3 linked regions of the Drosophila melanogaster genome follow. The protein of the gene in region 3 interacts with the protein of the main gene of each other region in a pairwise test. Each region holds a gene or a part of one and is shown on either strand. Other genes may lie near its edges. The genes, in order: Act87E, CG9184 and Cpn.

Region 1 (7,515 bases), 1.3 Mb from region 3:
TATAATCATCTGCAAGGGTATATGAGCTGCGGCTTGCCGCAGATGTCTGTCTCGCCTTTTTTCGTTTTCATGTCAATCTGCACTCCACTAACCATTTTAAGGCCATTGACCCACTTGACCTGCCGTATTAACACTCGTTTTGATCTTTGGCACAGAAAACTCCGAGCAATTATCCGGACAGCAGTCGCATTCCGTTTCCGTCCAGCAGCAACAGCAAAGACATGGTATCGCCCTGGCTGGTTTCCTCGGAGGTGGTATCGGCACCCAAGGGACGCGAGTCGGCCATCATTCGAAAATCCGTTATTACAACCCAGTTGTAATTATTGTTTAACAGTAACCCCTACTCCGCGTATAAGCTAAATGTTCTAATTTATAATCGGTAGCTATGGAAATTTAGGCAGACGTAACGTATTCGTATTTTATCGTAGACAAACTTAGACGAGTTTTAAGCATTCCAAGCGAGAGCAACGACAAAAAGACAATGAGAGAGCAGGTCCAATCAAAAGCATACTGTCCCTAAATGTGCCTTAATGATCTATATTTATATACTTTACATATATCATATACACCGATGCGATATCGAGGAACGAAATGTGCTAAACCGTGTACTTAATAAAGTATTCAACCGCTAACTGTAAGTGTATAGACTGGATTTTTAACAGAAAATAAAAACGTGATGTTGGGCGTTCTGCTTAATATACTAGGCTTATATTATAGCTAAGAGATGTGAGGACCGTTTAATGTGCAGTATTCCAATTAACAACTAGCAGACCACTAAGAACAACGAAATTTTAAACTGCAGCCACAAAATTGACTGAAAGTATACAAATCGAAATGAGCTGAATTGAATGTAATTGTGCGAGTATTTTTGTAAATGTATTGTCCGCCGGGGGTCCCAGAACCGAAAAAATGACTTACCACACACCAACGAAATGTTAAGTGCAAGCAATCCACTCAATTATTTTTTGTCTAAGCATACAGCAACGATGTTGAAGCATTTAAATGTATAAAATATTCAATAAAAAGTGCATTTATGCATCATGTATACAGTACAACATACCCTACCCGTATCTCGTCTATTTTCGATTTGGGCACCCCATTCCAGGAATCCCGAGTCCCGAGGAGGCCCATCTGCCTGGTGTCGTCTGTCTGCTCGATCTTCAAGTACAAGCGTCCCGGACCAGCCACACAAATGTACTTGAAATTCCAAGATATTTTTGCAGCCCCCGAGGTCGTGGCACTGCAATTTAAAAGACAGCCGGCGGTCGCTTCTCCCAGCGGCTATGTTAACTCCAAAAAAACGGCCATCTCACACATTGTTACAGTGGAACATACCTAAAATATACTTAACTAGGTCTTGAACGAAGACTGTTTTCAGCGAGCTCTTGTATTCCTAATTAGTTTAGTTTTAAAAATATATATTTTCGAATCCCTTTAAAGTTGATATTCTGACATTCAAAGTCACATATTTGTTCAATCTACTGTGGGTTGACTGTAGTCTTAGAAGACATTTGTTAATACTTCGGCATGTTGATTTGCCGCTTTTGTTGTTTCCTTTGGTCTGTATTTTTAGATCCACGACGAGGGGGGCAGCTCCTGCACCGACTGGCAATGGGCAAAAATGGACTGTCTTGGAGGCGTCTATGCTGGGATTACCGTGCTCATCCCCAGCCACATATGTACATATGTATGTGCACCCCAGTCGAGGAGATCCACCTCCAGATTTCGCTCTTTGCAGTGGGCGTGCAAAATTTCGTAATTTCCTGTGCGTCGCTAAAAATAATCGCATAGCATGCCGCTTGCAGCGAATAAAAGATACGTTTCGTTTAAAATTTAGATTTAATTTATAGAGGATGCTAGTATAATTTATTTTTAAAACTGTAAAATTTTGCATTCTTGTGTCTCCTCAACTCCTCCTTCAGCGCCATCAAGCGGCTCTCCAATAAATATTAATATAAGTATAATACATGCTGTTACAATCGCGGTTCCTTCGGTTTTCTTTGGATGGCAGGGCAGCAAGAGGTTTTAACTTAAGATTAATCATCAATAGCACTAGGCTATAGATCTTGATTTGGTATTTGGTTGTTGCTGTTCATGTTGTTCTTGTTGTTGTTGTGTGGTGTTCTGTGGCGTGGTGTGGTTGGGTCTCAATGCCCGTGTGGTTTGCAGTGTCTGTGGTGTTTAGATCGCTTAGAAGCACTTGCGGTGGACGATTCCTGGGCCGGACTCGTCGTACTCCTGCTTGGAGATCCACATCTGCTGGAAGGTGGACAGGGAGGCCAGGATGGAGCCACCGATCCAGACGGAGTACTTGCGCTCCGGTGGGGCAATGATCTTGATCTTGATGGTGGACGGCGCCAGGGCGGTGATCTCCTTCTGCATACGATCGGCAATACCAGGGTACATGGTGGTACCACCCGACATGACGATGTTAGCATACAGATCCTTACGGATGTCCACATCGCACTTCATGATCGAGTTGTACACGGTCTCGTGGATGCCGCACGATTCCATTCCCAGGAAAGAGGGCTGGAACAGCGACTCTGGGCAGCGGAAACGTTCGTTGCCGATGGTGATCACCTGTCCGTCGGGAAGCTCGTATGACTTCTCCAGGGATGTGGAGGCGGCGGCGGTGGCCATCTCCTGCTCAAAGTCCAGGGCAACATAGCACAGCTTCTCCTTGATGTCGCGAACGATTTCACGCTCAGCGGTGGTGGTGAATGAGTAACCGCGCTCGGTCAGGATCTTCATCAGGTAGTCGGTCAAATCGCGACCAGCCAGATCCAGACGCAGGATGGCGTGGGGCAGGGCGTAACCCTCGTAGATGGGCACGGTGTGGGAGACACCGTCACCGGAGTCGAGGACAATACCGGTGGTACGACCGGAGGCGTACAGCGAGAGCACAGCCTGGATGGCCACATACATGGCGGGTGCGTTGAAGGTCTCGAACATGATCTGGGTCATCTTCTCGCGATTGGCCTTGGGGTTCAGGGGGGCCTCGGTCAGCAGGACGGGGTGTTCCTCGGGGGCGACGCGCAGCTCGTTATAGAAAGTGTGGTGCCAGATCTTCTCCATATCGTCCCAGTTGGTGATGATGCCGTGCTCGATGGGGTATTTCAGGGTGAGGATACCACGCTTGCTCTGGGCCTCATCACCAACATAGGAGTCCTTCTGTCCCATGCCCACCATTACGCCCTGATGACGGGGACGACCCACAATCGAGGGGAAGACGGCGCGGGGCGCATCATCGCCGGCGAATCCTGCCTTGCACATTCCGGAACCATTGTCCACGACCAATGCGGCAACCTCATCGTCACACATCTTGGCTACTGGCTGTTTTCACTGCAACAACAACGAGAACGGAGGCGGTTTTTAGAAGGAGAAGTGAGAAGTGGGCTTTCGGTATTCGGATTGGGTATGGATTTTAATTGTAATCTTGTGTGTAAGTGTGAAATTATGAAATACGTGTAGGTGTTGCCTCAGAACATGTATGACTTTAAAAGAAAGAGTATCTTTGCAGAGGAGCAATCATTAAAATTAATAAAAAAGGGCTGTCTTCAACTTTTGAAAATATTACATACTTTAATAAAAGTTTTAATTAATTATAATTTTTGATTTAAGATCAAACAACTAATATTTTTCAGTTTTAACATTTTAAAGAATGTTTTTTTAAACAAAAATTAGTCACTATTAAAAACCAAACATTTAAGGATCGTTGATTAAACTTTTTCTGCTCCTTGTCAAATATGTTGTTTGTTGAGATCTCTATCTTTCCAAAGTATCTTTCTTTTCAGAAAGTTGGGCACTGTACACTGGATCCAGCATCGGATTGGGTAAAAGTCAACCAGACAGACGGAATTGGTGGATGTGGAGTATACTAACCGTTAGACGAAGAAAAACTAGAAATCCAAATCAACACTTTCGCTGTAGAACTGCGAGTGGTCGCTGGACCGAGATGCGCTAATATTTATACCATTCTGGCGACCCTCAGTCGTTTTAGATATTTTCCGCACGCACACTCAATCGCCTCTCGGCACACATGTGCACATGGATGCACATTGCGCCGGCGGGGGGAGATTCTGAGTTTCTTTTAAAAATAATTTGTTTTCGTTGGATTTTTGCTTTTGGACTTCTGCTCGCTTCGTTCATAATTTCCCAGATGGTGCACTGCAGGAAAGATGGCTCAAAATATGTTATGAGAAAATATAGATTTTTGTAAAGCGCATATGATGGAATGAAAATAATCAATTTTGTACCTATTTTCTATTGTGTAATGATTTTCTAATATTAAAATATCATACCACAAACTACTTCTTAAGTATTATTATTATATTATTAAGTAAATATGCCAGAAAAATATTTAATACTTTTAATTATTTGGTTTAAAGCTAAGTAAAGGCTTGTGAACTTGGTGATGTTTAGGTCACAGCTTTCAACATTTTCTCTTTGTGTAATATCGACTGAGAAACAGAGAAACAGACGGATCTGAGCGCCTTGGTAAACAACATCGCGATGGCACACAGACACTCACACCCGAGAAGATCCTCCGGATCGGAGCATCCCAATCGTAGGCGTAATGTTTGCTCTCCATCCGAATCCGAATCGTTATCTTTATATGTATTTGTATCTGTTGCTATATCTTTGTCTGCAGCTGCGGAGGTGTCTGCAGATGTATGGGTGGCGTGTTCGTTTTTTGTTTTGTCTAATTTTTAATCAACATTTGCACGTTGGCCCAATCCATACATGGTTGCGATGGAAATCTCTCAGCGATGATGAGAACGCACTCGCAATTAGAAATAAGAATTTCAAAACTAAACCAAAACTTATATACCGCCGCATTCTCTCGGCCATAATTTGTTGGGTGTGGGCTGTTTTTCTGGGTGGGTGGGTTGGTTGTTGGTTTTGGGGATAGCTGGTTAGGGACCCAAAAGCCATAAACACAAACGGAAAATTGTTAATAGAGCGAATAGTGCATTTATAGATTTGCCAGATTTTTTCGGTTGGCCAAATTGACATTAATTAATACGCCCCAACTTATTTGGCCATTAACATTTCTCTTCGAGTTTTTCTTCTTGGCACACACTCATCAATCACAAACGAGATCATTGAAAGCTATTCAGTTAATGATCAAAACTCTTAATAGACTTATATGGTGCTATGAGAATTTTTAAAAATAATAACAAACGGAAAAATGCGTTTGTTGTTTACACTACACATATTCTCTCAATTCGTTGAGAGTGTTGGTGTGGGTGGGAAAACCGTGTATGAGATGGAAAAGTCGGGGAAAGCAAAAATAATTTAAATGAAAACCGTGCGCTCTCACGTTTTTGCAAGAGATTCTTGGACGCTTACGCGTAGAAACGTATCTAGAGTTTGGAATTCTATTTTTAGTAAGGAACTTACGAAATTTGTATATTTAAATCTAGATAAGTATGCGAGTGGCCAATTATCACAGGTGAGGAAATACAATTTCTTGACAGAAATGATTATGTACCGTGTCTAGTACCTACTGGAAATGTCTTAACTTTTATTAAATATTGTATTCAATCTCCATGATCCCCACTAATGATGTTACTTTCCATAAATAATATAGAATTTCCCACATATGTATATATGCGTTCATTCACTCTGTTTTCCCCGCTATCAGCTGAGTAATCGGCAAACATTTTCACAACGCCTTGTTGGGCGCCATTCATTTGGTTTGCCACAACGCCTAGCTGGTCATCATTAATATAAAAATAAACATGAATATATGTTAACAGTTGTGTATTATTTTTTTGTGAAATTTTTCGGCCCACATTAGCTGCCCAGCAGCTGATTGAATTGTGTTGGCCAGCAACAACACAAATCTGCCAATTTGATGATACTGCAACAAATGTGCTGCCTGAAAATATTATTTATAAAAATCTGAGAAAATCACATATATTTGATTGTGGCAGCGTCTTCCGAAGAGGAGGCACCAGCCAACCAGCCAGGCCACCACAAAAAAGAACATACCAGGTCGAGCATTGGGCCACCACCACCTTTTAAGGATGCGCCAAACAACGGAGGAGAATGCCGACGACAGCTTGACGTTGGCGGCGTGCGCGCTTGTTTGCCTTTCTGACAACCAGCCGCATCGCCAGCAGCTACGGCTGCGGATGCTACTACGGATATGAGTACGGAACACGAGGAAAAATATTAAGAGTTTGTGCAACAGTGAAAAACTCAAGTAGCTATCTCTACCCTCTACCAGCCACAAGTACCGATGCAAACAATCAAAAACCTTTACATATAAATTAGTGAACATTTATTATCAAGCTTAGATGAATTTTGACATTTGGGACATCTGGGAAATTCGCCTTTTATTATCTAAATCAAAATGATACGCATTTTCTTACTGTGCAGCGGCCAAGTAGACTGCATTACACGGTGTATGGCAAAGCTGTATTTTTAAATTGAATATTGTGCCAAGAAAATATTAATATGCAAGCATATTTATGAATCTCTTCAAGCATTATTTCGATATTTTTAATATTTAATATGCATTTAATGCCTTTAATTCAATGCACATGTTTGGTTATACAGGGCGTATGCGTGATCAATATATATATGTATGTGCAATGTAAAGAATACAATATGCAGCTATAGATGCTATATGGGCTTTTAAGATTTTATTATAGCAGAAATGATTTTGTTATTACTTTGTAAAGTAGCTATACCCGTTTCTCGATTTTTGATTATTTATTTATTTTGCATGTCAATTATCATAGAAATGCCAAAGTCATTTTCGCCACTTCAATTTCTAATCATGTTGAATTTTAATATTATGAACTTTTTTCGTGATTTTTTTCGTTTTCCTTTCCCTTTTTTCAGTGCGATAGACATATTTAACGTAGCACAACTCGAAGGCAAAGACGCAGCTGGCAACCAACAAAAGTCCCCCGGAAAATGCGATGGCTCCGCGAAACTGATCAAAGGTGAGAGCCTTGAAAGGATCTTCTCGCACCCTTGTTATCTCCTCGTGGATCATGCGTCGCATGTCCAGATCGCGTGCCCACTTTTGCATGTGACCCGATTCGATGATATGCTGAATCACCGGGTTTATCTGGTGCAGCAAATGGTACTTCTTCGGCAGTAGCATGGTAACCAAATAGACATACAGGGATTCTCGGCGGTCGAAGCAGTAGAGACGATCTCGTTGGATTCGGGGATTGTAAAAAGAGTGCTGTCTGGAAACAGCAACGGCGATATGTTCGTTTTGAGCTGCATCATTGAGGCAGTCCACTAAATTGTAGCACATCTGAAACTTTTCGCGTATGTACTTGAAGATCTAAAAATGAATTCCCATTAATTTCCATGATCGAAAATGGGATAGTAACTCACCTCACCATCCTTGTTCAGATGTCTGACATGCTCGGAGGTGCCCATCACGGTCATTTTATTGCTATAGATCTCTTGCAGAGTGTGGATCTGATAGGAACTACGTGGAGTTGTCAGTGTGCTGATCAGAAAACTCTGATATGTGTTGCTAAA
Region 2 (7,254 bases), on a different chromosome or scaffold from region 3:
GGTTCTTTGAAATAATAAATAATATGGGAAGATGATTCTCCCAGTGCAGCAGCCACCGCAATCGAAGAGATCTGGTTTATTGTGATGCTCCTCTAATAAAGCGAGCGTTTAGGCACCGGCACCTCAATTTCGCCGCTTCGCTCGCTCCTCCGTTCGCTTCCTGGGTCTTCACTCCACACATCGTCTGCGAGGATATTTGTAAACTGGCTGGGGGGGTTCACCTGTCCCTCGCTCCCCGGGGATGAGCTTGTTTGCCCAGGTTTTATAGCAGGAACAAACAGGCGGGGCACACAAAGAGGGTCAACAGGGCGTATGTGTTTGGCTATGGGGGAGACATGAGTAATCGGTGGATATAGCTGGCGGGGATGTATCCCCTTGCTCCGCTTGCCTACTCGCTGACCAATTGAAATTGTATCAAATTTCAATTTCGTTTCCACACTGCGACGGCCCTCCATTAATTTGACCCAGTTTTGAAAACAGCGGCAATAAGCCGCTTAAAAATAACCAACTGCAATGGATCGAAAACGAAACCGAATGATTCGCCAAATCTGGCAGCTGTTCAAATACAAGCTCGCAACAATATAATAATATTGTCAAATACCTACCTGTAGTCTTAAAATATCTGGGATCTGCTCACTTTTAAAGTACTTAATGGTATTGAAGCTAGACTAGAGGCGATTGTAGAACACCTTTTTTCGAGTGCACAAAGCATTGCCCCCAATGTCATTGCCTCACACTTGGCACCCAAAAGAAACGAATTGGAAAACCAAGCGTATCACGAAAACCCGAATTTTGGTAATGATGTAATGCCAACTTTCTGCGAACTAACCGTTTGGCAAACAAACCCAGAGGCCAAGAGAACAAACGAAGAACCGGAGAAGGAAATAAAATTGCACGCCTTTTGGTTCGGGTAATTGCGATATTTATTATCGCCCAGCCTTGTCATGTGCCCATTTGACTCTATGGAGTCCACGGAATATTCGAAATATAGCATAACCTGGTGTCTAGGGGAAACGGCGACCCGCACCCACCTGAAAAAATTTCGAAATCGCGGCCTGATGACAAACTTGAACTTTCTCTTATCGGAATCGGTGGCGTTATCTTCTCGCTGGGTTCAACCAGTTTTACTGATATGATATTGATCGTGTACGCTCTACATATGTACATACAGGGTGCTTTTACCTCTTCTTAGCCAGCTGCATTATGACATTAATTAATGTCTAATAAGATAAGATACGAAAATTAAGTTGAATCGACAAAAGACCACAAGCGATTGTCGTAAACGTCCATCGAAGCACATCGCTTTTCCACGAAAGATGTGGAGGTCTGGTCGACAATTGGTATGCCCTCTTTTATGAATGGGCAGATGTGTCACTTGGAAGAGTAGAGAATGACCTGGTCTTACCTAGTGAATGGATTCATTCAGACATTGTTCTTTAAAGATGTATAAGATACGATCTCTTAAAGAAGTTACGATTCATTTTCACCTTTTAAATTACAAATATTGACGGCATTCTACTATTATCTGTAGTATCCTGGCTGAGAAACTGCTGATCCACCTTAATAAAGCGGTAATTGGCCATGTGGCAATATGCCCCATTCAATCAATTGTATGGCACAAGTACAATTATAGCAAAAATCCCCACTAGTCATAAAGTTCGACTGGCGAGGAACCAAGAACACGGAGCCAGCACTTCCACTCCATTCCATTTCTTTCGACGGAGGAGTGAGCTTGAGTGAGCTCGTGTTGGGATCACCATTACATCGCACCTCGGATTTGCTCAGGTTCGGTAAAGTGCCAAGTAAGGGCTTTTCGTGGAAGCCCCAATCCCAAACTCCAAACTCTTATTCGACGTGAGTACGAGCAAAAAGTCTGTTTTGAAGCGGCCAAAACAGTAGGAAAGGCAAAAACGAAACAAAACGAAACGCTTTTGGGCAGCTCTTTCAGCAGATTTTTTCTTTTTTTTTTGCAATTGGCAGTAAATCGCGTTCAAGATCGGCCTCAGCTGTTGACGCTTTTTATGGCTCGCAGTGAGCTAAGAAAACAGCGGGCCCCAGTGATTGTTTAATACTTAATGGTTATCCGAGACCGAGACCCAGGCACTTGGCATGCGTCACAATGGCGGCGTGATCTCCTCGAGATCTCCTCGTGCCCAGAAGACTCGTCCCTAAAAGCGGGTGACTCAGCAACCGAGCGTCCAGATTCTCTTATATACATATGTATTTGCAACCGGCTCGATAAGTTTGCCCAGTTTGAATTTGAATTTCCAGTCTTTGCGGGTGCGAGAAATGACGATGATGACGATCGTTTGAACGAATTCGATCATCTTTACTCTCGGTCAGCGGCCTCAACTGGGTTCTTTATAATCTAACGATCCATTCAGTTGGATGATCTGGCAAAGCTATTATCAGGGTTTAAGTAATCGTCAATCTCGAGTGGATTAATAGAAACACCTTCTGCCTTTCTCCTTTCTGCAATTCTGTTTCTACTATTATGGGCTTTCAGTTGGACGATTTCTTTAAACATTTATCCAGTCAGAATCGATTAGATATTGAATAGGGCTATAAACTAGAACGCATGCGATGATAAGTAAGAACTACAATGCATCACGCGGTTACTCGGAATATACATGGTACACAATTTATTAAGTTTTAATCAATGATTGGATTAGAGTACTTCAAGCCCTGGCCATTTGGAGTAGGTGATAAAGTGGCACAACGTTAGCGTTGTTCCTGCCGTCGAGGAAGTTCTGGTGGGACAGCACGGCCCTGCCCTGGAAAACGCCAGGAATGGCGGCGGAAGTGAGTCCATCGGCACCGGGAAGTTGGTTATCGACCTCGCCAGCCGTCGAGGAGCGATAGAAGGGATAGTAGGGATAGCCAGAATAGCCGCCAAAGCCGGGATATCCAAAGCCCCCATATCCATAGCCGCCATATCCGCCGTAGTAGTTGTAGCCATTGTAGTAGGGATTGTAGTAGGGTCCCGGCGGAGGAGGAGGTCCTGGCGGCGGTGGTCCGGGCGGAGGGGGTGGCCCCCAAGGACGCTGCGGTGGCGGCGGATAAGCGGGCGGTCCTGGCGACCACTGCGGTGGATAGCCATACTGCCGTGGGTGCTGCTGATCCTCTGGTGGATAATAGTAATGGTGTTGTACTGACGGTTTCGGGGTGGTCGACGGGGCTCCCGAGGCCATCACCAGCTTGATGCCGCCCTTACCAATGGTCTTCAGCAGGTGCTCGTCAATCCCGCGTCCACTTCCCAGCGGATCGTCCAGCACCTGTTGCTGCTTTTCGGTCCTGGCCTGTCCGCTGACCAGGCTCGTCTGCAGTGGCGCCTTCTCCTGGAAACAGAGGCCGCTGACCAGCAGCTGCAGGATAACTGAAAAGGATGTGTCACTCTTTCTAGGCAGCCGATCGTCCGTACTCACCCAAACCAATCGCAGTCACTCTCCGATCCATGATCTCTCTCGGAATAACCTGACCACTCCAGTTGCATTGCCCTTTTATACGCGGTGCATCTGTGATGAGATGTGTGGGATCTCGTTCCCGGTTTCCTCATTAGAATAACCCATGCAGTGGCCCAAATTTGGGATGCCTTTCTTTCTTCTGTGTCCATCTCCATCTCCATCCCCAGCTCCAGCTCCAGCTCGAACTCGATCTCGATCTCGGATCGATCAAGCACCGTTCTAATAACTGCGCTCATTAATTTGCATATGATATAAATGCTTGTAGGGGCTTTGTGGGATCTTTCCACTTCTCATTCCACTTCCATGATCGTTCTGCCAGCCCTGCATTTTTCCAAATGAATTCGAAGAGTTCAATATCCCGCGATATTGCTGCTTGATATATGACGACATTTGAATGCAGATGAAGGTTGGTCATGCCACTGAACAAAAAAATATTCAGCAAAGCTCTTGAGTTGGCAACAAATTTTTTGGAAATATGTGCCCTTGAACTTATTGTATTATCGTTGAGTTTCCGTCTTTAGAACTTATCTTTACTTTTTACGAATGTATTTCTCCATCTCGCTACAAAGCAAATCAGCCTCTGCCTCTTGGTTTCCTATTCTTAATGCTCGACTATTTCTTTCGGTGTGCGATTAATGGGTTAGGAACTTTTTCGTTTGGGTGGGACTCATGGTTTTTGGGTTCCGTTATAGGTCGTGTGTCGTAGACATGTTTACGAGTCGTCTGATACAACAAAATGTGGAGTTCTCTGTTACATCACCCGTTGGAGTATTTCTGGATCGGGAAACCAGTTCCCCACTCTATTAGACCGCTGAATGGGGATTAAAGAAAGAGTGGATCAAGCCGACAAAAGCAACGCCCCCAGGGAACAGAAAGTCAATGACTTCATAGTAGGGAGAAACCGTGTTATTGCAGGGATATTGAGCAAAGTATAATTATAATGACTACACACTCATTAATATTTACAGTTTAATTCATTTTATATCCCCCAGCTAGTTTATCTAATCATGAAAGTATCTGTAGAGGCTTGCCCCGCCACCCAGTCAACTTTGGCAACTCTCTTATCATACAACATATACTCGTGTCAATTGGATCCCAAACAGTTCCATGAGATCTGCACTCACCTGCCCTCCAACTTGTGGATTCCTTAAATAGACGTAGCATAATCTTAGGCGATGGTTGGTTTGTCAAAAGTGCTAAAGTGATTGCAGAATGACTGCAAATGGCTGTGCCCATTGGGTGATGTATTCGTATATGGTTTTCGACATGATCGATATCCACTTCCATCTGCCCTACGTGCAATTAAACAATTATGTGACAAACATCGAATCACGGCGAGCTCGGCTCCAACGACTGGGACGTGTCTGCCGGTCTCTTCGAGAATTCCTGGGAAGTCTTCCCGGCAAACATTTCGCAATTAGTCAGGCATTCGTTCCAGTTCCACACAGCAAATCCCCTTCCAAGTGGCGCAGAGTGGATGGAAACACACAATAGTGGCGGTGGAGGCAATTGCAATCTAGTGTGTGTACTTACAATGTTTTCATTCGGCAATGACTTATTATTTAGCACACTGATAGCTGATAACACAGTGCTAATGTGAGCTGGAGCACTTTTCTGAGTCGGGGTTGTGAGTTTCGAGCTCTGACTCACTCAGAAATGTCCCGAAAGCGCGGCAGTCATCTAGAAATCTTGAAAGCATTAAGTTATAATTTACATTTTGGAGAAGCAAGTTTATGAAATTAGCTAATTGTGGAGCAAGAACTAAGTAAAGGAATTCCTTATGTACATTGAAATCAAATCCTTGATCTTCGCAATAATGGATACTAAGGACTACATAGAGTAAGCAGTGCTAAGATAAAGAAAGTGAATAGATTATAAATCATATAGAATAATTCTTGATTAGTTATCTAAAAACCAAGAAACTGGTTCGCGTAGCTAGGAGGAACCACATTATGAATCAACTGAAAACATTGGGTTGCTCGGAATGATGGGAGATGGGAACGCATATATCTTTAGGATTGACGCATGCGAAAAAGACGTATCGTGATCTCAGGTACTTGGAACTCCGGAATACAGCCGATCCGGAATTCTTTGGTGCGCTGCGTTTCTGTCATGGTCTCCTAAATCGGGTCCCGAGTTTATTCGCGAAAGGCACTATCTAATCGGGGACTGATTGGCGGCATTGCCCTCCTCATCGCAGTCATAGGTATATTATCGTTGATAAATGTGCCGACTAAAAAAAAAGAACAACACAAATTCCGACGAGGCCAATTGATATGTGGAGAGGAGAAGTATTGATGGTTAAAACGCCTCAACTGCCAGCGGATCGGTTTAGTTTGCCAACGGAGCCGTCAAAGGGCGGAATATGCGCGGAATCTGACACATCCTCCAGAGAATCATCAATTGGAGCTATCAGTGGTGTTTGTGCAGTAGTGTTGTGGAACAAGAAGAATCGAACAAACATGGCCAGGTAGAAGAAGCGTGATTTGAAGAGAATCCATCTAGAGATGTGCAATTGTTTACTCAGTGACCTAGTGAAGTGTCCTTGGATAATCCCACAGTTATATGACCAGCATTTCTTAGGAATCTTAGAAATCCTACCAGTCACAAATCCATTGCATAATCGTTTCTTTTATGGTTTTACCCGCCGCGTATCAGCAGAACTGGAGCAGTCGTCCAATAAAGCAAACTCTTACCACTTGCCCACTTCCCTTGGCCCCATGAAATATGGCATTGATAAGGTGAATTGCACCTGCCCACCATTACTTCTATGGATCTATAAATACCCCAGATTGGGTATTTGCATTGGGACTCATATAGAATATTATATTGGATATGTCTGATGAGATCATTTGGAATTGATCAACAATATCCACATTCACGAGTCACTATCATTTGCCTGATTCATTTCCGCAGGACTGTTATAAAATATTGTCGAATAGCGAAAATCTTATCTTTGGGGTTTCGGCTTTCTATGGGGCTTTTCTGAATTGGTTTTCAAGAGGTTTTTCCTAATCAAGGTGGTTAAACATGGCAACCCTTTCAGCTGGGCAGTCCGATTAGGTTCGTCAAAGATAAGACCTATGAAGAGGATTTTCTTAGGAAGTTGAAAAATTAACAATGAAGCAAGCACCAATCGTTTCTGTGGGATCTGTATTTAAGGAATCATTTTGATGCTTATGTGAACCCCTTTCTTTGCTTTAGTTTTAATTCCCAACTGAAAATGGAGACGGGCCTGCACGAGCGTGATCGTGCTGGAGTCCAGGACTTTGTGCTCCTCGAGAACTACCAGAGCGAAGAAGCCTTCATCGGGAATCTGAAGAAGCGGTTCCAGGAGGACCTGATCTATGTGAGTAAAAATAGTTAAAGAAGATAGGTCAAAATAATGATAACGATATCCCCTTTCGCAGACCTACATTGGCCAGGTGTTGATCTCCGTGAATCCCTACAAGCAGCTGCCCATCTACACCGATGACCATGTCAAGGCGTACAGAAACAAGCACTTCTACGAGATGCCCCCACACATGTGAGTCTCAAGACCAAGTTGCATTGAACCACCAAATAATGAGCATTCCTGTCCAGCTTTGCGGTGACTGACAACGCCTTCCGTTCGCTGATCGAGGAGAACCGCGGCCAGTGCGTGCTCATCTCCGGAGAGAGTGGTTCCGGCAAGACAGAGGCCTCCAAGAAGGTGCTGCAGTTCATAGCCGCCTGCTCCGGCAACCAGACGACCGTCGAGGGCGTCAAGGACAAGCTGCTAAAGAGCAATCCCGTGCTGGAGGCCTTCGGC
Region 3 (7,515 bases):
TGAAGAACAGGCCGGTCCTTGCATCATGTGTTATTGTGATATGCCTCGGACATGAACCTGAAACACGTAGCCAAGTCAATGCTACCTTATCTTGAGTCACATTTAAATTGTGTTGTAATTCTAACAACCCTCCTCTTCAACCGATGAAAATTGGCTTGGTAACGTGACCGCTAGTGGCCCTAATATAAACAGGCCCTTTCCCAATCATCAAGCCATAAAATCATAAAAAGGAATATAGAGATGCGAAAGAATATAGTAGGGCCGCCATCGAAACCAAATCGAAAAAGTTTCCGCTTAGGCTTGGCATTAAAAACTTGGCAGCTTGTTAAGCCCGGCTGAAGACCAGATTGTAGTTCGCAGTGCTGGGGGCCAAATTAAATCCGCAAACTGTAGACAAAATGCAATAAAATAAATTGCAACAATATCCGCAAAAACCGAAGCCAAACGCGAAAGGCGGACGAGCGGAGCTAAGCGAAATAAAAGTTCCTTATAAATGATGCTGCTAACCTTAGTGCCGCATTCGGAGTGAACATAATATAAATTTTCAACGGGGCTGAGTAGGAGCCAAATGAAAGGTGACAGCTGGGATGTGGGGGAATTGGGGCAAGGAGCTATGGCTAAACAATAGTTCAGCAAAAAATAAGTTGAAAACGAGTGAGAAAAACTTAAGTGCCCGTTAAATTTCCCAGCGGACTAATGATAAAAGTTACGCGACTCCTGGCCACGCCCCTCAGCCCACCACCGCCATCGTCACGCGCATTTTCCTACCTTTCCTGCAGCAGCATTTTTCCCGGCTTGTCGGATTTGTTTGCTCTTTAACCCTTTCCATTTGGCGAAGCCTTTTCATTGTTTTTTTAGCTCCTTTCGCCATACTTTTTTGTTGTTTTTCCCCTGCCTCGAGTACCGGTAAATACATTGCGGCATTCAAGTTAATTTACCACAAGAAAGGAGCCAGCAATGAGTCGCAAGGAGCAGAAGTCTGCAAGGAGCGGAAAAGCAGTCTTGGGAAAAGGCTGAGAAAAAATGCAATGAAAATTATGTTGAACCAGGCCAGGGATCGTAATTAGTTTACTGCCATTTAACTTGCTACATTAGTTGCAATTACGTTGTAAATATTGTGTATTTATTCCGCAGTTCATTTGAATTTCTTAAACTGCGTTCTGGGGTTTTCCGTTCCTGAATATTTACAAGACGATCTGAAAGGCGTTAAGCATTTCGATTGAATAATGGATTCAATTTTGTCCCATAATTTAAAGCTAGCTATACCTTAAATGTTCTATTAAATTTTATCTTTCTCTGAAAGTTAACATATGAAAATGGAGTATATAAAAAGAAAAATGTAAAATATTTACTAACCATGCCCTCAAATCGTAAGTCTATTAAGCTGACAACTCAACTAGAAAACCCGTTCACATCCTTAAACAGATTAAACACTTATCACCAAGTGCTTTAAGTGTCAAGTCCTTGGAATTTTGCCACTATGGAAATTTTGAAAAATCATTAAAGTGGCTGGAGTATTTCTCAAAAGTTAATTGATCCAAATTGTTGTTTTGTTTTTTGTTTGTTCAATATTTCATATTTTACTTGCCATTGCTGTTGATACAGTGTGTACGTGCGTGCCATTCGATTTGTGTTTGTTATGTGCTTTGCATAATTTAACACTTTGCCTTAAAAACAATCAAATTGTCAAGTGTCAAAAGTTCGTGTCGGCCCAGAATATTCCTCCGCTCAACTGGGCTCTGTTTGTGCTGCCATGTAAATGTAAATAAAAATGCATTAAAAATGTAGCTGTAATTTACACACTCACACTTTCCAGGGAGGTGAAAATAGCCTGAAAAGTGGGTGGGGGTAGCGACCGTAAGTGGGTGCTTGTGTGCAATATTTTGCATTTGCCTGCCAGTTTTTCCGGTTTGCTCTGACCACAAAGTGTTGGCCATTAACCGAGCGCAGTCTGAGCCACCCGCTGGGCCATATCATGTTTATGCCGCACGCTTCGAGAATAAGAATGTTCATGGAAAGTGTCGGATCTACTAGTTTGCACGGAGAAGAGAGAAATGTTTAAACAATAATAATATATATATTTAATGAATATTTTCCTCTTTATTATTTAATTGATTTATAGTTTGCAGCATGCACTCCGCATAAACGCAGTAACAGACACTTTCCCAGGGAAGCGGAAAGGCAGGCTGACGCGTGTTAATTTGAATAAATTATTAAAGCACGTGATGAGCGCGACCTTTCAACCAATTGGGGCAACTACCAGCCATCACCCACACTACCGCCCCCACCAATCCCAATTGGATGGTCGAAAACACACCAACCAGCCCACCCCCCGCAAGCCAAGTGCAATTAAGCACGAAAAAACCAATCAAACTGGAAATAAATTGCGCCATAGTTGCAGCAGCCACACAGCGACCAGGGTTGCCATACGGCGCCGATTTTTGCGAATTTTTTTTGCCTAGCCAGCACTTTGTGTGCCCCTTCTGCGTGTGGGTGTTTTGGGTTTTTTGCGTTCGCCGGGGGTTTCCCTTTTTATTGTGGCCGCTGGGTGAAAATTGTTTGCATTGCATTCTCTGCTGATGCATGCGAATTGAGAAATATTTGCAATTTAGCAAAATACACCCGGAAGCGGCTCCGGATTGAAGCTTGAGCTCCTTTTGCCACATTTCGCAATTTCGATTTTCGCCCCGCATTTGTATTCATATTTGTATTTGGTTTTTCCAATCGCACACGGGCCCGACTTTCCACACTCTTACAGTGCGTGCAAAATGACGGCAATTAGGTGTATACGCTGCGCTGATTTATGTTTTTTTTTTTTTTTTGTAGTTGATCGCCTCACCTTCGAAAATAGCCAGGAATGCAATATCCATTGTTTCAGGGAATGGATTTCATCCGAGTATTGTTTTTCGGTATAAAACATTGTTTGAGAAATATTTGTAAAATATGACAAAAACTTCTATTCTATTGCTGGCAATTACAATTTGAGATCACTCATCAGTGACCACAGATTCGAAGAAAATCAAATGTATTTGTTGAGGTACGCAAACTCCTTCGCAGCTCAGATCAATTGTCGAGTTCAGTGATGCAGGAGGAGATAGAATAAAGTATAAATACAATTTGTATGCTTGATGTAATTTCATTTCCACTTATCTTGGTATTTTCTCTGCATTTTGCTTCATGCGATTGATTTATCGCACAGAAAATAATAGGCAGCCAATGTCTGTGCATCCTGTGAAAGGACTCGCTCTCGGCCTTCCAAGCATTCAATCCCTGAGCCGGGTTCAGTTTATATTCAAATGCTTACGCTTAAATGTCAATAATACGTGAAATTGAACTGCCAATTCAATCTTCACAACTACTCCGCATCGCTCCTCCACTTCTCCAGTGAAATCATTTCCATATAAGCGTTTTCCCATCTCGTCTATTTATATATATGTATGTATTTCTTTTCTTTTCGTTCGCAACTCTTTTTATTTTCCATCCTGCGAGAAAAATTCTTTCTGTTCATATGTGGAAAAACTATTTGCAAAAGTCTCAAGTGTGCTCGGTTCCCGGCCAGCAGAGGGGCAAGTGAGGCGAAGGTGTAGGTGGACGTGTTGGTGTTGGACTTTTTAAAACGACGCCTGCAAATTGTACGCAGATCACATTACACTTGCTCCAACGGACGGCATGTGCAACTGCCGGCTGCCTCTGTGGATTGCTTTACATTTGGCTGCACTTCCTACCCGGCATTCACTCGAAAAATTGAAAGATTTATTTCTTAGTTCTTTGCGATTACATTTCCACCGAGCTAATGTGTTCCGATCCAACGGCTACGTAGTGGCAGTTTGTCAACTGTCATTGCATCAGACATTGAATGGGCCACGATAGCAAATGGATTGTGGAGGGTCGGGTGAGGGCGGGGCAGTGCGGGGCAGCGCGGGAACCTGTCGCATTTTGTTGACAACTACATTGCAAATACGGCAAAGTAATCAGTATTGTGTAAATAACCAGTTATGTGTCTGCGAGTGCAGCTGACAAAGCGAGTGGTAAGCGATATGCACTGGATCGCGAATAAATTCTTGAAAGCGTTTCCCCGATTTATCTACCCGATGCATTTGGCAAGATGCGAACGGAATCGATAATCGAATAATATGCGAATATCACTCATACGCAGTGGTGGGCGCCAACGCATGTAGCACACTTTTCAGCGCCAAATGTTTCCTCGTGCGAGCCGGAACAAATTTAATATGTGGCTAAGGTCAGCTGATAAGCACCTTAGTGTCTGGGAATTGGAAAAACGCAAAAAGCACTTGAAACTATGCGTATACTTTCTGCGCTCAATGGGCAGTTGTCGGACTTCTGACCGAAGGTAAACCAATGAAAAGAGGTAAAAATGTCCAAGAAAACTGAGTCAACGGGCCAGTTAAACACCGTTTTTCTCATCGGCAAGTCGGTCGCTGTTTAAAACTATTCAACAAATTAAATTGGTTAATAATATTGAAAATATTCAAAAGGATTGACTTACCTAAGAGGCAGTTCCTAATAGTTGACCATTTCATTGCTGACCGCTTATTTTCGAATTTTTGAACGAAATTGTGCAAGTGCCTTGTTTTCTCTTACATAATTTAGCAACTACAGTTTTGTAAAAGAAAAATATATTTCGAATAGACGTCAGAAGCAAGAGACTAGTTAACTCAATTGCTCTTACTTTTACTTCTCATGTAGTGAAGACAATTCTAATCTCATTTAATCAATGTAATTTTATTGTATAGATATTTGAATCAGTATTTTCCGGAGAACTTTTATTCTTATTTTTCTCATTCTTACGTGGTTTCTCATCGATTTAATTTTATTTAAGACAATGGCCTAAATCATGGTCAGATCCAGCCTTGCCATGTCTCATGTTTTTCTCGTTTTCATTCCTCTGTTTTCAGTTGTCTTCTGACCATGAAAAGCTGGCCATGAAACATTTTTGCAACTAAGCATTGGACAAGGCACAATCCGCCCAAAAGGAAAAAACGGATTAACTTTTATGTGAAAGTGGGCAAAGGATAGACATGGAACCAGGAACCATTCCATCGCCTGTTTCAGCACCAGTTGCTGCGCCTGTGACGCCATCAGCAGTGGCTGCCCCTGTCCAAGTAGTAAGTCCTGCGGCAGTGGCTCCCGCACCAGCGGCACCGATTGCAGTCACTCCAGTTGCTCCACCGCCCACCCTTGCAAGTGTGCAACCGGCAACAGTTACTATTCCAGCTCCAGCTCCAATTGCTGCCGCATCCGTCGCTCCTGTCGCATCTGTGGCGCCTCCAGTTGTTGCAGCTCCAACTCCGCCGGCAGCAAGTCCAGTTTCAACACCACCCGTTGCTGTTGCTCAGATTCCGGTCGCTGTTTCAGCACCAGTGGCACCTCCCGTTGCTGCAACACCCACTCCTGTTGCCCCAATTCCTGTAGCTGCGCCTGTGATAGCGACACCACCTGTTGCTGCCTCTGCCCCCACTCCGGCTGCCGTGACTCCCGTTGTTTCGCCTGTGATCGCCACACCACCTGTGGTTCCCGCTAACACCACGGTTCCCGTTGCAGCACCTGTAGCTGCTGTACCAGCTGCTGTTCCTGTTGTTGCCCCAGTTCTTGCGCCTGCCGTTGCTCCTGCAGTTGCCCCCGTCGTCGCCGAGACTCCAGCTCCACCACCTGTTGCTGAGATTCCGGTTGCAACCATACCGGAGTGCGTTGCACCTCTCATCCCCGAGGTTTCCGTCGTGGCAACGAAACCACTAGCTGCAGCTGAGCCAGTGGTCGTTGCTCCACCGGCTACTGAAACCCCAGTCGTTGCTCCGGCTGCAGCTTCCCCCCATGTGTCGGTTGCACCAGCTGTGGAGACCGCAGTGGTCGCTCCTGTAAGTGCTTCGACTGAGCCCCCGGTAGCTGCTGCGACTCTAACAACTGCACCAGAAACGCCAGCCCTTGCTCCAGTCGTTGCCGAGTCCCAAGTTGCTGCGAATACTGTTGTAGCTACACCTCCTACTCCAGCCCCAGAGCCAGAAACCATTGCACCACCTGTTGTTGCAGAAACCCCAGAAGTTGCTTCAGTTGCTGTTGCTGAGACAACACCACCCGTTGTACCTCCTGTGGCCGCAGAATCAATACCAGCGCCAGTCGTTGCCACGACACCAGTTCCTGCAACACTAGCAGTAACGGATCCGGATGTCACTGCATCTGCTGTTCCCGAATTACCTCCGGTGATCGCTCCATCACCCGTTCCTAGTGCTGTTGCTGAAACTCCTGTCGACTTAGCGCCACCTGTTCTCCCTCCTGTGGCTGCCGAACCTGTACCAGCTGTAGTGGCTGAAGAAACTCCTGAGACACCAGCACCAGCATCAGCACCAGTGACCATAGCAGCTTTAGATATACCAGAAGTTGCTCCTGTGATCGCCGCACCCTCTGATGCACCTGCTGAAGCTCCGTCTGCCGCTGCTCCCATCGTTTCTACTCCACCAACTACGGCTTCTGTTCCCGAGACCACGGCACCACCTGCGGCAGTGCCTACGGAACCTATCGATGTTTCTGTACTATCAGAAGCTGCCATTGAAACGCCAGTTGCACCGCCTGTCGAAGTTACAACAGAAGTTGCAGTTGCAGACGTTGCTCCACCTGAGGCAGCTGCGGATTTAATAATCGAGCCTGTGGAACCACCAGCTCCTATTCCGGATTTATTAGAACAAACTACATCCGTGCCAGCTGTTGAAGCTGCAGAATCAACATCTTCACCAATACCAGAGACCTCATTACCGCCGCCAAATGAAGCAGTTGCCTCTCCAGAAGTGGCTGTCGCTCCAATTACAGCTCCAGAGCCCATACCTGAACCGGAACCAAGCCTAGCGACCCCTACAGAACCCATACCTGTGGAGGCACCTGTCGTAATCCAGGAAGCAGTGGATGCTGTAGAGGTGCCGGTGACAGAAACTTCAACATCGATTCCAGAAACTACGGTTGAGTATCCTGTAGCCGAAAAAGTCCTGGATCCTGCCATAACTGAAGCTCCTGTCACTACTCAGGAACCAGATGTTGCAAACATTAATGACGGTGCTCCAGCTACCGAAATCACCACACCCGCTGTTGAAATCGTTACTGCTGCTGCAGAAGTATCTGATACTGCCATACCGCTCATTGACCCTCCGGTTCCTCAAGAGATCGCAGTAGCTGAAATTCCAGAGACAGAGACAAAGCCGGCAGAGGTCATTGTTGAACAGAGCACCATCCCAATAGAGGCACCAGTCCCGGAGGTTTCAAAATACGCAGAACCAGTGATTTCTGAAGCTCCAGCTGCCGAAGTACCAATTACGGCCGGGGACAACCCAGACAATACTAGTGTGGGAATATCTGAAGTTGTTCCCACCATTGCAGAGAAAGCAGTTGAAGAGGTTCCCACTTCGGAAATCCCCGAACAATCATCGTCACCCTCAGATTCCGTTCCCGTAGCAAAGATAACTCCTTTGCTAAGAGATCTTCAGACCACCGATGTTTCGCTATTGGCTA

Evidence for each region.
Region 1: the proteins of Cpn (region 3) and Act87E interact in a two-hybrid assay, tested with the Drosophila melanogaster proteins (one large-scale study listed by BioGRID).
Region 2: the proteins of Cpn (region 3) and CG9184 interact in a two-hybrid assay, tested with the Drosophila melanogaster proteins (one large-scale study listed by BioGRID).

What each region holds. Positions count from the first base shown.
Region 1 is NT_033777.3:13,422,410-13,429,924, reverse strand, and holds Act87E (actin 87E), read right to left. Parts: upstream 3,943-7,515; 5' UTR 3,883-3,942; exon of another isoform or gene 3,747-3,882; intron 3,479-3,746; exon of another isoform or gene 3,343-3,478; 5' UTR 3,322-3,342; coding exon 2,191-3,321; 3' UTR 1,550-2,190; downstream 1-1,549. Other genes in the region: yrt (yurt), read left to right, coding at 156-320; Ir87a (ionotropic receptor 87a), read right to left, coding at 6,785-7,312, 7,366-7,515. UniProt on the Drosophila melanogaster protein: Actins are highly conserved proteins that are involved in various types of cell motility and are ubiquitously expressed in all eukaryotic cells.
Region 2 is NT_037436.4:1,319,327-1,326,580, forward strand, and holds CG9184 (uncharacterized protein), read right to left. Parts: upstream 3,481-7,254; 5' UTR 3,457-3,480; coding exon 3,426-3,456; intron 3,377-3,425; coding exon 2,679-3,376; 3' UTR 2,466-2,678; downstream 1-2,465. Other genes in the region: Myo61F (myosin 61F), read left to right, coding at 5,245-5,303, 6,669-6,813, 6,875-6,990, 7,047-7,254.
Region 3 is NT_033777.3:12,163,075-12,170,589, reverse strand, and holds the start of Cpn (calphotin), read left to right. Parts: upstream 1-4,403; 5' UTR 4,404-4,469; intron 4,470-4,916; 5' UTR 4,917-5,039; coding exon 5,040-7,515. UniProt on the Drosophila melanogaster protein: Plays important roles in both rhabdomere development and in photoreceptor cell survival. Might function as a calcium-sequestering 'sponge' to regulate the amount of free cytoplasmic calcium. It binds 0.3 mole of Ca(2+) per mole of protein.